Linked DNA regions of Macaca fascicularis. The main gene of each other region encodes a partner of the protein of the gene in region 2 in a complex. Links are inferred from orthologs where the notes say so. Each region holds a gene or a part of one and is shown on either strand. Other genes may lie near its edges. The genes, in order: FAM181A, TEAD4 and FAM181B.

Evidence for each region.
Region 1: the proteins of TEAD4 (region 2) and FAM181A are in contact, whole or in part, in a crystal structure (PDB 6SEN), measured with the Homo sapiens proteins. The link is inferred for Macaca fascicularis from reciprocal best matches to the Homo sapiens genes TEAD4 and FAM181A. Residues at the interface, in NP_003204.2 of Homo sapiens: Glu263, Ala264, Val265, Gln269, Ile270, Asp272, Lys273, Leu295, Lys297, Trp299, Glu391, Val414, Glu416, Ser418, Ala419, Ser420, Gly423, Gln425, His426, His427, Tyr429; in NP_612353.3 of Homo sapiens: Pro191, Met192, Arg195, Gln196, Leu197, Pro198, Ser200, Phe201, Trp202, Glu203, Glu204, Pro205.
Region 3: the proteins of TEAD4 (region 2) and FAM181B are in contact, whole or in part, in a crystal structure (PDB 6SEO), measured with the Homo sapiens proteins. The link is inferred for Macaca fascicularis from reciprocal best matches to the Homo sapiens genes TEAD4 and FAM181B. Residues at the interface, in NP_003204.2 of Homo sapiens: Glu263, Ala264, Val265, Asp266, Gln269, Ile270, Asp272, Lys273, Leu295, Lys297, Trp299, Glu391, Val414, Glu416, Val417, Ser418, Ala419, Ser420, Gly423, Gln425, His426, His427, Tyr429; in NP_787081.2 of Homo sapiens: Pro221, Leu222, Arg223, Arg225, Asn226, Leu227, Pro228, Ser230, Phe231, Phe232, Thr233, Glu234, Pro235.

The regions. Positions count from the first base shown.
Region 1 is NC_088381.1:161,937,030-161,941,126, forward strand, and holds the start of FAM181A (protein FAM181A), read left to right. Parts: upstream 1-1,291; 5' UTR 1,292-1,307; intron 1,308-3,314; exon of another isoform or gene 3,315-3,425; intron 3,426-4,097.
Region 2 is NC_088385.1:3,905,616-3,909,241, reverse strand, and holds part of TEAD4 (transcriptional enhancer factor TEF-3), read right to left. Parts: intron 3,209-3,626; coding exon 3,069-3,208; intron 2,062-3,068; coding exon 1,888-2,061; intron 1-1,887. UniProt on the Homo sapiens protein: Transcription factor which plays a key role in the Hippo signaling pathway, a pathway involved in organ size control and tumor suppression by restricting proliferation and promoting apoptosis.
Region 3 is NC_088388.1:81,723,639-81,727,501, reverse strand, and holds FAM181B (protein FAM181B), read left to right. Parts: upstream 1-1,395; 5' UTR 1,396-1,529; coding exon 1,530-2,810; 3' UTR 2,811-3,243; downstream 3,244-3,863.

The DNA.
Region 1 (4,097 bases), on a different chromosome or scaffold from region 2:
GGTCCACAGGAAAAATCCTGCTCAGTGGAATGGGCAAAGTATTTAATTCATAACACATTTAGTAAGAAGCTACTCTGTGCCAGACTGTAGTAGGAGTCAGATTACTAAGGGTCTTCTGCATTTAGCTAAGGAGGTTAGACTTCATCTTTGACTCTAGGAACACAGGGATGTGAGAGGGCATTATTAACAATGCTAGGAGTTGGCAGGAGGCATCCTGGAGGAGGGGATGTTTGAGCTGGGCCTTGAAGAATGGCTGAGAGGACAGGGTTGGCTGAGTTGGGCCCAAGAATCAGGTTTGAGGCTTCTGTGAGTGTGTCACCAACTGTAAATGGGAAAAATAATCCCCTCTGCCCAGACACAGGACAATAATGAGAGAACACTGGGAGAACCTTCAGACTCGTATGATTACTGCTGTCTTTCCACCTGCCTATATGGCCAATCACAAAAACACAGAGAGCCTTCCCTTGTGTGGGTCAGAGGCACCGAGAGGCCTGGCCTCAAGCCATAGCTGCCTCCTCTCCCCGCTCCTCACTTCCCAAAGCTGCAGCTCCCGTATTCCTGAGTCAGGAAGGTCCAACGTTGGGCTAGAAGAGTGGAACCCAGGACGCGTGGAGAAAATCTGGTCTTGGCCAGCAGCGTTTAGGCAGTGTCTGGTGCTCATGGGAGCGCCAGGAGGCAATGTGGCCAGGCAGATCCACCTCAGCCTTTGGACGCAGACAGGCCTGGCTTCAAGTTCGAGCTCTGCTGGTTAACAGCTGTGAGGCCTTGGGAAAGTAACTCAACCTCACTTCACTTGTCAGGGCAACCGAAACACTATCCTCACGGAGCTGCCCCGAGGGTCACGTGAGGTCTTCATGTGGCTCGAATATGGCTCTTGGCACATGCTGAGTGTCTGCAAAGAATCCATTTTCTTCCACTTTTCTCTCCCCTTCCTTTCTCGCTTCCCTCTTTTCTTCCTTCTCTCTTTCCTCAAAAAGTGTTTGGTGGAAGAACAGCCCACATTCAGAGCTTTGGAAAGACTTTCATAAGACACCGACTCACCTCCCATGGAGTCCACGGGCCTGGTGGGGACTCACTACTAGCTAAGAAATGAGAGTCATCTTCATGATCTGGCAGTGCGGAATGGGCCGGCAGGGCTGCAGGTGCCGTGGGATCTCGAGGACTCTGGGAGCTGAGCTGAGTGGCTTTAAAATGTCTTGACGCCCTTAGAAGAGAAAAGATCTTCTGGAGAGCGGAATGATGCAGCCTACAGAAAGCACAGAAGGCCCGGGGAGAAAAAGGCAGGGCACAGCAAAGCAGGCTGTTATGTGGTCAGGTGCTGGCTGCCAGAGATGTTCGAACTCTTGGCTGTGCACACCAGCTTCATGCAGTAGGCAGCAGGGAGCTGGCCCTGGTGGCCGCAGGCCCTCAGGACACTCTCTCCAGCCACGTGTGCCAGGTGTTTTGGAGCAGAAAGGATATTTCCTGCCTGTACCAGTCAGGATGGGCTGGGAGTTACTGCAGAAACACATAGCCCTCGAATCTCTGGCACTTAAAATGATGATGGTTTGGCTCTCACCCGTGCAAAGGTTGCCACAGGCAGGAGCAACTCTCCAGGGCACATAGTGGCCGACAATCTAGGATGCGTCAGTCCAGCGGCGCTTCCGTCTCAGTCCACACTTCCCCGACCCCGCAGCAGGAGAGGAGCATGGAGAATACAGTGCTGGCTTTCAAGGCCTAAATTGAGTTACAGCTTGTCAGCACGGGCCATCTCCTCCAAACCCTTCATTTTGCCTGTAGGGACCCTCAGGCTGGGGGTAGGGGAGATGGCTTGGAGGCAGACCACAGCAGCTGTCTAATGGCCAGTGGGAAGGAGTTGGGGCCATCCCTCCTGGATGGAGGCCCTGGCCCTGCCCTGCCAATGCCCCCAGTCTGGGTAGGGAGACTCCAGAGAGGAGTCCTGCAACCTAAGATGCCAAATCTTAGGTTGCAGTACAGAGGCGTGGGTTGGCGCATAGACCGTCAGCCATCTGGCTGATGAGGGAGACAGGAGGACAAGGCAGTAGAAGGGGAAGAGGAAAGGAAGGGGAAGGAGAGGAGGAGGGAAGAGGAGGCTGAGCCTGGACAGAAAAACGATGAGGCTTGAAAGGGGCCCATGAGTTGGGCTGGCACGGAGGCACGACCATTAGCATTTCCCAGGCAGCCGCCCTCGCCTTCAGCCTCACCTTCCCTCTGGCCAGTTGGTGGGCAGGGCCAGCGCCGGCTCTGGGCTCCCTTGCTTGCTCAGAGCGGCCCTGCTTGCAGCCCCGCCGGCGTTGGCACGGTGACAGTAGCCAAGTGTGCAAACTTGTGCCATTGTCCGCAGGCCAGGGGGAGCCATGGAAACTGGCTAATATGACACAGGAAAATGTTTGCTGATGGCAATTCTATGGGCTTTGTCCACCTCTTTCTCCATCATGACGACTCGATTTAAGTCCCTAACTGTTTGACTACAAATGCAAGGGGACCGTGCAACGCCAACCTTTTGTCCGGCTGCGCTGAATGGGCAATTCAGGCTTTGTGCAGCTCAATTGAGGAAGCAAACATAAAGACAAGATTCCTGAGAGCTCCAGCTCCCTTCCCATGGATATCCCAGCACCTCGTTACAGAGTCCTTCCTCGGCCACCTTTTCCGACAGGCATCAGCGCACCTCCCGACCTCGAAGGCCCTCCATCCCCGATCCCTGGGGATCCTGGCAGGGAGGGTGGTGGGGATGGCAGGTGGGGGGGGGGGAGAGAGAGAGAGAGAGAGAGAGAGAGAGAGAGAGAGATGGAGAGACAGAGAGAGAGGAGAAGAGAGAGTGAGAGAGAGAGAGCCACTCAACACTCAAGGACAGCGGGAAAAGCAGCCCGCCCCAGCTTACCCCGTCCGATTGTCTGTCCGCACTGGAGCATGGCAGCTGTAGGCCTGGAGTCTTTGGGGGAGGTTTGCAAGCCTGTCTCTACTAGGCCCAGCCCCTTCTCGATCCTGGACATTTTAAACACACACACACACACACACACACACACACACACACCACCCCCTTGAGAAACCAGGGAACCGAGGTCAAGGGGAGGAGGAGCGTGGAGGCCCAGGAGAGTGGGGCTGAAGGGTAAAAATTTACCGGGAAATGATTGCATTTGGGAGCTGTCTTTTTTGTGATGGTCCCCATGGTGACAATTTGTGACGGCAAAGAATGTGGGAACGGGGCGCCGCTGCCTGATTGGGATGCTTTGTATCTGGAGAGGCGCTCCTGATTGGCCTGAGGGGCCCCCCAGCTCCGGGGAGTTGTCCTCCATTCAGCCCACTCGAGGGTTGCACAACTGCTTCCAGCCGGACGGAGCTCAGCCGGCTGCGCCAGGGCCTGTCCCAGGTCTGCAGTGGGGAACCTGCCGGGCCACGTTGGCTGGGCCCTGGCCGCACCTTCGGTCAGTGTGGAGGCCCGGTGGCTCTGGCCCGACTGGGTGGCGGGTGTGGAGCAGGCTGGGGCCTGGGGGAGGGGCGAGGTGCTGTGGGTGGCGGCCGAGGAGGCATGAAATTGCTGCAGATGCTTCTTCAGGGGAGTCCCTGCTGCCCGCAGCCTGAGATCAGCCTGCAAGGCAGGTCTCGATTAAGTGCCAGACAGGGGTCCTGCCTGGTCCTGCGTGAGAGCTGGGGGTGGAGCGTGGGGACTGAGGAGGGGGGGCTGGCGCTCCTCATGCCGGGGACGGGAGTGGTGGGAGGGGGAGGCTACCACCAGGGAGGAAGGGGGCTTGGCCTTGCTTTAAAGTGGAGCAGTTGCCTCAGCTCAGAGAATAAACACCTCGCTGGCAAGTTGGCAGCGCGGTGTGTGGGAGACGGGGCAGGCTGGGAATGTGTGCCAGCCCCAGTAATGCCACCTGTAGCTGGGTCACCTTGGGCAAGTTGCTTGACCTTTCTGAGCCTTGGCTGCAAGAAGAGGGCACCAGACGCAAGCAGGCTGGGTGAGGCTCTGCTGGCGCCTGCTGCATCCCAGGTGTGCAGGAAGTGCTCAGCCACTTGCACCCACATCCCTCTACCCAGGACTCTGTTTAAGGCTGAGGGGTGCTGGGGTGGGGACACCGTTTGCAGACAGGTGCTGT
Region 2 (3,626 bases):
AAAAAGAAGACCAAGTAAAATAAAATATTACTTATTTTTCATTCCAAAACAGGTTAAAACTCAAACTTTAGCATGATCAAGACCTTCCAGAATGTAACTCACTTTCCCAGTTGTCTCCTCTTATTCCCTCTTTCATACCTTTACCTACGGCTTCAACTTCACTCCAGAGCTCACTTCCTTCTGCCTTTACTACTCATGCACTCCTAGGCTGCAACAGCCTTGCCCATCTCTGCCAACAGATATGCCCATCCCTCAGGCTGGGGTCCAACTTCCATCCTGCTAGTTGAGCGCAAACGCTAAGTGTCTTGAAGGTCAGAGGCCATAGGTCTCAGTTCCAACACTTGTCCCTTCTGGAGACAGCCTGCCCCCACGTTCAGCTGTGGGTGACAGCCAGGCTGGGGGCTGCTCACTGGGAGCTGGCAAAGCCATCCGAACGTGTATGTAAACTTTGGTGTGAATACGCGTCTTTCTAGGAAAAGTAAAGCTTTCAGATTAGGAAAATGGCCTGGGAGCAAATAAATGGTAAGAATCTCTGCACAAGAGGCATCGAAAAGAACGTGTAAGGCCGGGCGTGGTGGCTCGCGCCTGTAATCCCAGCACTTTGGGAGGCCGAGGCGGGCGGATCACAAGGTCAGGAGATCGAGACCATCCTGGCTAACACGGTGAAGCCCCGTCTCTACTAAAAATACAAAAAACTAGCCGGGCGAGGTGGCAGGCGCCTGTAGTCCCAGCTACTCGGGAGGCTGAGGCACGAGAATGGCGTAAACCCGGGAGGCGGAGCTTGCAGTGAGCTGAGATCCGGCCACTGCACTCCAGCCTGGGCGACAGAGCGACACTCCGTCCCAAAAAAAAAAAAAAAAAAAAATACAAAACAAAATTAGCCGGGCGTGGTGGCAGGCGCCTGTAGTCCCAGCTACTGGGGAGGCTGAGGCAGGAGAATGCCGTGAACCCAGGAGGCGGAGCTTGCAGTGAGCCGAGATCGCGCCACTGCACTCCAACCTGGGCGACAGAGCGAGACTCCGTCTCAAAAAAAAAAAAGAAAAGAGTGTGCAGAGAGCTGAAGGGGAGTGGGGAAGAGGGATGCGGGCAGAGCCACCAAAACCTCAGTCCATGTCCTGAGAATATTCCAACCCTCAGTCACAGAGCCTGATTTCCTGTCCTTCCTCACTGCTGGCTTCATTAGCACTTATCTGTCTGACTCTCTCCTCGCACCCCTTTTCTGCACATACTGGGCCCGCAGGAAGCTAAGCTCCCAGGGCAGCTACTGTACCTCTGGGCCTCAGACAAGACGTTTCTAATGGAGGGGGTTCTACCCACAAAACACCTGCCCAGGGGTGAGGTGGGAGGGCCGCAGAGGCCAAGTCTATGGGCTGAGCTATCTGAGAAGTTGGGTGGGTGTTTCTTCTGGGGTGGCCTCGCCCATCCAACACTTCCCTCCCCTTCTCCAAGCTCTGTTCAGCCCAACATGCCTTGGACATGAGCACTGAAGGACAAGCTCCAGGCCCAGAAACCCATGCAGGACTTGTCATTCAAAGACCTGGGTGACAAGGGCGCTCCTCATAATGTCTTCACTCATCCCCGTAGGGTCCCCTTTGTCTTTTTCTGGAACTTCACCTCCTGAGGGCTCCACGTCTTGCCGGGGTTAGCTGCCATCACCACCCACGAGACAAGGCTTCATTCGACTAGGCCAGCTCTCTGGGATCACCGCCTTGTTCCTCAGCTCAGCTCTGACCACCCCATAGCCATGCTGGGCTTGCTCTCCCCTTCTCACTGGTGCCACCTCCCCAAGTTTCTACTGTGGCAAGGGCACGCTCTGGGTACTCTCGCCCCATTCTCACTACCACGGACGCCCTGGTGGTAGGAAGGAAGAGTTTATCACAGGCTTACCCAGAACTTCACGAGAAAAAAGGCATTGGAGGGTCCCCGTTCAAAGAGCTCCTTGAGTCCACCCTTTTTCTCCGGGAATTTGTCATAGATTTGGCGGATGTCCACGGCTTCGAGGTAGGGGTCGCTGTAGCTTGGGCTGGACTGGCCAATGTGCACGAACAGGTGCTTGTTGTACTGTAGAGAGAGTGGGTCTGAGGGAGGCGGAGCACAGGCCAGACGGTCAGACAGTCCCAGCTCTGCATGCCCACCACGTGACCCGGCGCAAGCCGCTTGGCCTTTCTGGACCATAGTTTCCCCGTAAGTGAAATGGAGATGGTAAAAGACTTCTTTTATTTTACATCCTGAACTTCTAAGAGTCTATTCGGTTCACAGGGTCGTCAGTTAAAAAGAAGTTTGAGCTGGGCACAGTGGCTCACACCTGTAATCCCAGCACTTTGGGAAGCTGAGGTTAGGAGTTCAAGACCAGCCTGGCCAACATGGTGAAACCCAGTCTCTACTAAAAATACAAAAATTAGCCAGGTGTGGTGGCGGGCACCTATAATCCCAGCTACTCGGGAGGCTAAGGCAGGAGAATCGCTTGAACTCAGGAGGCAGAGGTTGCAGTAAGTTGAGATCACACCACTGCACTCCAGCCTGGGCGACAGAGCAAGTCTCTGTCTCAAGAAAAGAAAAAAAAAAAAAGTTTGAAGATGTCAGAGTGAGAAGGGCCCTGGCATCCTGTCACGCTGGCCTCCTCCAGGTCCCCCTCTGATCTTTGCAGGTGACGCTGGTCACCCAGGACACTGGACACTGAAGGGGACAGGCTGGCATCCCGTAGGATGTGGAGCAGACGTACAGGAGACTCCCCAGCTTCCTGCCTGCCTCTCAGAGCCAGGGAAAGGCTGGGACAGTGTGGGGGTGGGGCTGGGACCACAGCGACCTTGGACTAAGGGTTGGTTGGGTTAGGAGGGGAGGAACACAGGACAGGGAGGGAGGAACAGGGCACTGGGCCAGGGAGGAGGGAAAGAGGGAAGGGGGTGACGTGAAGGAGGAAAGGAGTCGGGGGAAGGATGGAAGGAAAGACCATAAAGGAACAAGGAACTTGAATTAAGCCCCAGTGTGGAGTGGGACAAGAGCACTGGAAGCAGAAACAGAGGCAGAGGGGGTGGCGGGGAGCCAGCCAGGCACAGGCCAGGACCTACCGTGTCCGGGTCCTGCTGCTGCTCCAGGAAGGCTGAGAACTCCAACATCCAGAGCTTGGAGCTGGCCACGCTGCGGCCCTGCCACGGGGGTGCCGGGGGCGCAGAGGGCGATGGGGCGGGCCCTGCAGGAGACTCAAACCCTGCACAAAGTGAGAGAGGCACATGGAACCTGGTCACGGACACCCGCCCTGCCCGCACCCTCTGCAAGGACCCCCGGCCTCCTCGGACAGACCCGTGCTGCCTGGGGGGCCGCCTGTCTCCCTAAACGGACCTCCTAGCAGAGGTGGAGGAGAGAGTGCAAGGCTTGGGCATCCTGGAGCCTCTCTGGTGGGGAGGGGCTCGCCTGGTACAACTCAGGCCGCTCAGGACTCTGCATGGAACCGCCCAGCAAGACTGGATTCTGGAGGGCAACTGGGGTCCTGCAGGACCACGGCTTCCAGAACAGGCACTGTTCAGTTCCTGCTGTCCAGCAACTTCTGTTCCCGTCGGGGAAATAACCAGATGAATCAACTATCACAATGTGGCATCGCCCTGGAGAGACGGGGACGTTTCCTGTGT
Region 3 (3,863 bases), on a different chromosome or scaffold from region 2:
TTATCAGGATGTTGCTCCATCATAAATCGAGAAGCATCTGTGATCTCACTTAATGCTCATGTACACCCTATGATCCAGAAGACACATAAGGGAATATAGTCACCTTTTTGTGTTTCAGAGAAGTAAGGGTGAATACTCATCCAGGCTATGGAATAATGTATCATTTAAACATCACAGTTGCCCTGTGGGGAGGGCAACTTTACCTGCTTTTAACATGAGTAAGCTAAACAGAGTACGCTGGTTTGTCTAAAGCCATGAACTCAGCAGAGCAAGGATTTCAACCTAAGTCAAGAGGTTATTGAGTGGTGGCTAAGACCAGAATCCAACCCTTTTCTGAATTTCTTATGAAAATGACCTTATTGCTCATTTTCTCTATCTATCCCAAAAGGATTGCCCAGGTGAAATTAGTTTTAAGTGAACTTCAAGATGATTCTCCAAATGCAACGAAAATTCCAGGATAACCTAAATGGTATGACAGGTAGGGGAGAGGTTCCAATCCGTCTTTTGTTCTAACATGCTAAGAGTTTTATACACACACGGTGTTCTCAAGCAACAGGGGACTTAGCCAGATTGACTCCTTTCTCCATTGCCTCCCGCTATGTATTAATAAAAGATGGGCCACTGCTGGCCTCAATTTACTGTTAGCCAATTGTTACTCATAACAATCAAGTGGCAAACAGTCAAGAAGAAAGAGCACTGGGCTTGAGAATCCTGGGAAAACTCAGGTTAGAACCTTAGGATCAGGTCTAGAGCTTTAAGAAATACTCATTTTCCTCCCCCATCTTATAGATGAGAAAGGCAAGGGCAAGAGAGGACGCAAGCATTGTCAGGGGCTTAGGAATGGCTTTGGTGTCAGACTGGGCTAGATCTGACCTTGGCCAACTCACTGAACCTCCCTGAGACGCAGTGTCCACATTTGTTGAACGGTGATAACATGTAATTCACAGGGCTGTTGTTCAAGGATTAAATGAGATAATAGATGGACAGCGCCTGGCAGAAGCAAGCGCCCAGAAGCTGGTAGGTGTTGTTACACAGCTGGACTGAAACCCCACGTCTCTAGACTCCCGCCTTCTTGCCTCAGGAAAGGCACCACCGCAAGTACCTGCAGAAGCATATCAAGCCCTGCAGCGGCCTCACGGGCATGAGCTGGAGTTTGGGGACCAGCCATCTCTTCCTAACCCCTTGCGGTTGGAGGAGTCAAAAGAAACGCCGCGGAGCAAAGGGAAACGAAGGGGTTAAGGCGTTGAGCTTGAGAAAGCTCAGAAAACTAAAGCGACCCCCCGCCCCTCCAAGCCAGGCTAAGTAAGCCCCTCCCCTGCACCACCGGGGCGGTCGCCGCGCGCTCCCTCCCTCCGCCCCTTGCTTACAAGACCTAATGAGCTCCCCTGGGAGGCCGCGCAGCGAGCCAGGCACGGAGCTGGTAGGCTGCGCCGCGCGCGCCGCGCCGGGGCGGGAGCCGGGCCTGGGCGGCGGGCAGGAGCCGGCGGGGGCGCACGGGTAGCGCTGCGGACAGCCGGGGAGCCGCGGCGATGGCGGTGCAGGCGGCGCTCCTCAGCACGCACCCTTTCGTGCCCTTCGGCTTCGGGGGCTCCCCGGACGGGCTAGGGGGCGCCTTCGGAGCCCTGGACAAGGGCTGCTGTTTCGAGGACGATGAGACCGGGGCTCCGGCGGGCGCGCTGCTCTCGGGAGCCGAAGGAGGGGACGTGCGCGAGGCCACCCGCGATCTACTCAGCTTCATTGACTCGGCGTCCAGCAACATCAAGCTGGCGCTGGACAAGCCGGGCAAGTCGAAGCGGAAGGTGAACCACCGCAAGTACCTGCAGAAGCAGATCAAGCGCTGCAGCGGCCTCATGGGCGCCGTGCCCCCCGGCCCGCCCTCCCCGAGCGCCACTGACACGCCCGCCAAACGGCCACTGGCCGCCCCTAGCGCCCCGACAGTCGCGGCCCCGGCCCACGGCAAGGCTGTCCCCCGGCGGGAGGCGTCTCAGGCCGCGGCGGCCGCCAGCTTGCAAAGTCGAAGTCTGGCCGCGCTCTTCGACTCGCTACGCCACGTCCCCGGGGGTGCCGAGCCGGCAGGGGGTGCGGTGGCTGCACCGGTGGCCGGGCTAGGAGGTGCGGGCACTGGGGGCGCCGGAGGGGACGCGGCCGGCCCCGCGGGGGCCACGGCGGTCCCAGGGGCCAGGAAGGTCCCACTGCGGGCCCGCAATCTGCCTCCGTCCTTCTTCACGGAGCCGTCCCGGGCAGGCGGCGGCGGGTGTGGCCTGTCGGGGCCGGACGTGAGCTTGGGCGACCTGGAGAAGGGCGCGGAGGCCGTGGAGTTCTTTGAGCTGCTGGGGCCCGACTACGGCGCCGGCACCGAGGCGGCCGTCTTGCTGGCCGCTGAGCCTCTCGACGTGTTCCCCGCCGGAGCCTCCGTACTGCGGGGACCCCCGGAGCTGGAGTCCGGCCTCTTTGACCCGGCGCCCGCAGTGGTGGGAAACCTACTGTACCCCGAGCCCTGGAGCGTCCCGGGCTGCCCCCCGACCAAAAAGCCCCCCCTGACTGCCCCCCGCGGCGGCTTGACCTTGAACGAGCCCTTGCGCCCGCTGTACCCGGCTGCTGCGGACTCTCCCGGTGGGGAGGACGGGCCGGGCCATTTGGCCTCTTTCTCCCCTTTCTTTCCAGACTGCGCCCTGCCCCCGCCGCCGCCGCCCCATCAGGTGTCCTATGATTACAGCGCGGGCTACAGCCGCAACGCTTATTCCAGCCTTTGGAGACCCGACGCGGTTTGGGAAGGGGCGCCGGGGGAGGAGGGGGCGCACCGGGACTGACTTGGAGGCACCCTTCCCTCCGTTAGAGACGGATGTGGAGAGCGCCGCGCCTCCATGGGTTTCTCCTAAATCTAAAGAACGGTGGAAAATACACGTGGAGATGAAACCGGATTTTTAAAAATTCAGTTAATAAAAGCAACTTCAGAAAAAAGAGATGAAGAGGAGTTGGGGATTGTTTAATCACAACCTCACGTGTTAAAACAAAACCAAACACGTTGGTAGGTTCTTACTGGACCAGAGGAGCCAAGAAACCAAGACGGTATGGGGTGGGGACGGCAGAAGGGGCAAGAGCTGGCTTCTGTAGCCACCTGTCTTTTCTATTTTTCAGCGAAGGTCAGTGTGTTTAGTGTAATTGCCCCTTCTAAACAGTGTCCTAGTCCCTCCCTTCCCTCTCCTTGAGTGCATTTTGAATTAAAGCGTATATTGAAAAGAATGGAGCGGAGACTTATTGATTTGGGTGTTTTCTTACAGGACGGTTTTTCGTCTGGTCCCTTGGCTTTGTTAGGTGAGCCTGTGGCTGAGGACGGAGGCCGGTGGTCCACTGCTGACCTCCTTTGCTGGTCCTTGGGTAGGGTTCTCTTCTGTCACACTTTAACGTTTTTGTTTTTTTTTTTTTCCTGCCCGCTTCTTGCTTCTATCTCCTTCCACCCTTATCAGTCCCAGTGCTTACTTTCCTTCTTTCTTTGCCTGGCCTCTCATTGCTCTATTTCTTTCGGCCAGCTTTTCTTGCTCATCTCTTTTGTAGGAGACTTAAATTTGGCAAACCTGGGTTCCATTTCTCTCCTGTCTTTCCCCCATTTTCCAGCCACTTTGGGAGGGAGAGATTGGGCAAATTGTAACCTCTTTGTATCAGTTTCCTGATCTAAGAGGGTGAGGATGGTAATGTTCTTGTACTCCACAGCTGGTTGGGTAGCTCAGGGGGAAATAAAGTGTCTTGAGGCTGTGGCGGTGCTTGATTGGTTCTGCTGTGTGTACACAAATGGTTTCTACACATGGAAACAGAGTTGTGAGTCCCATGCTGGGTTTTGTTTTTTTTTTTTTTTTGTTTTGTTT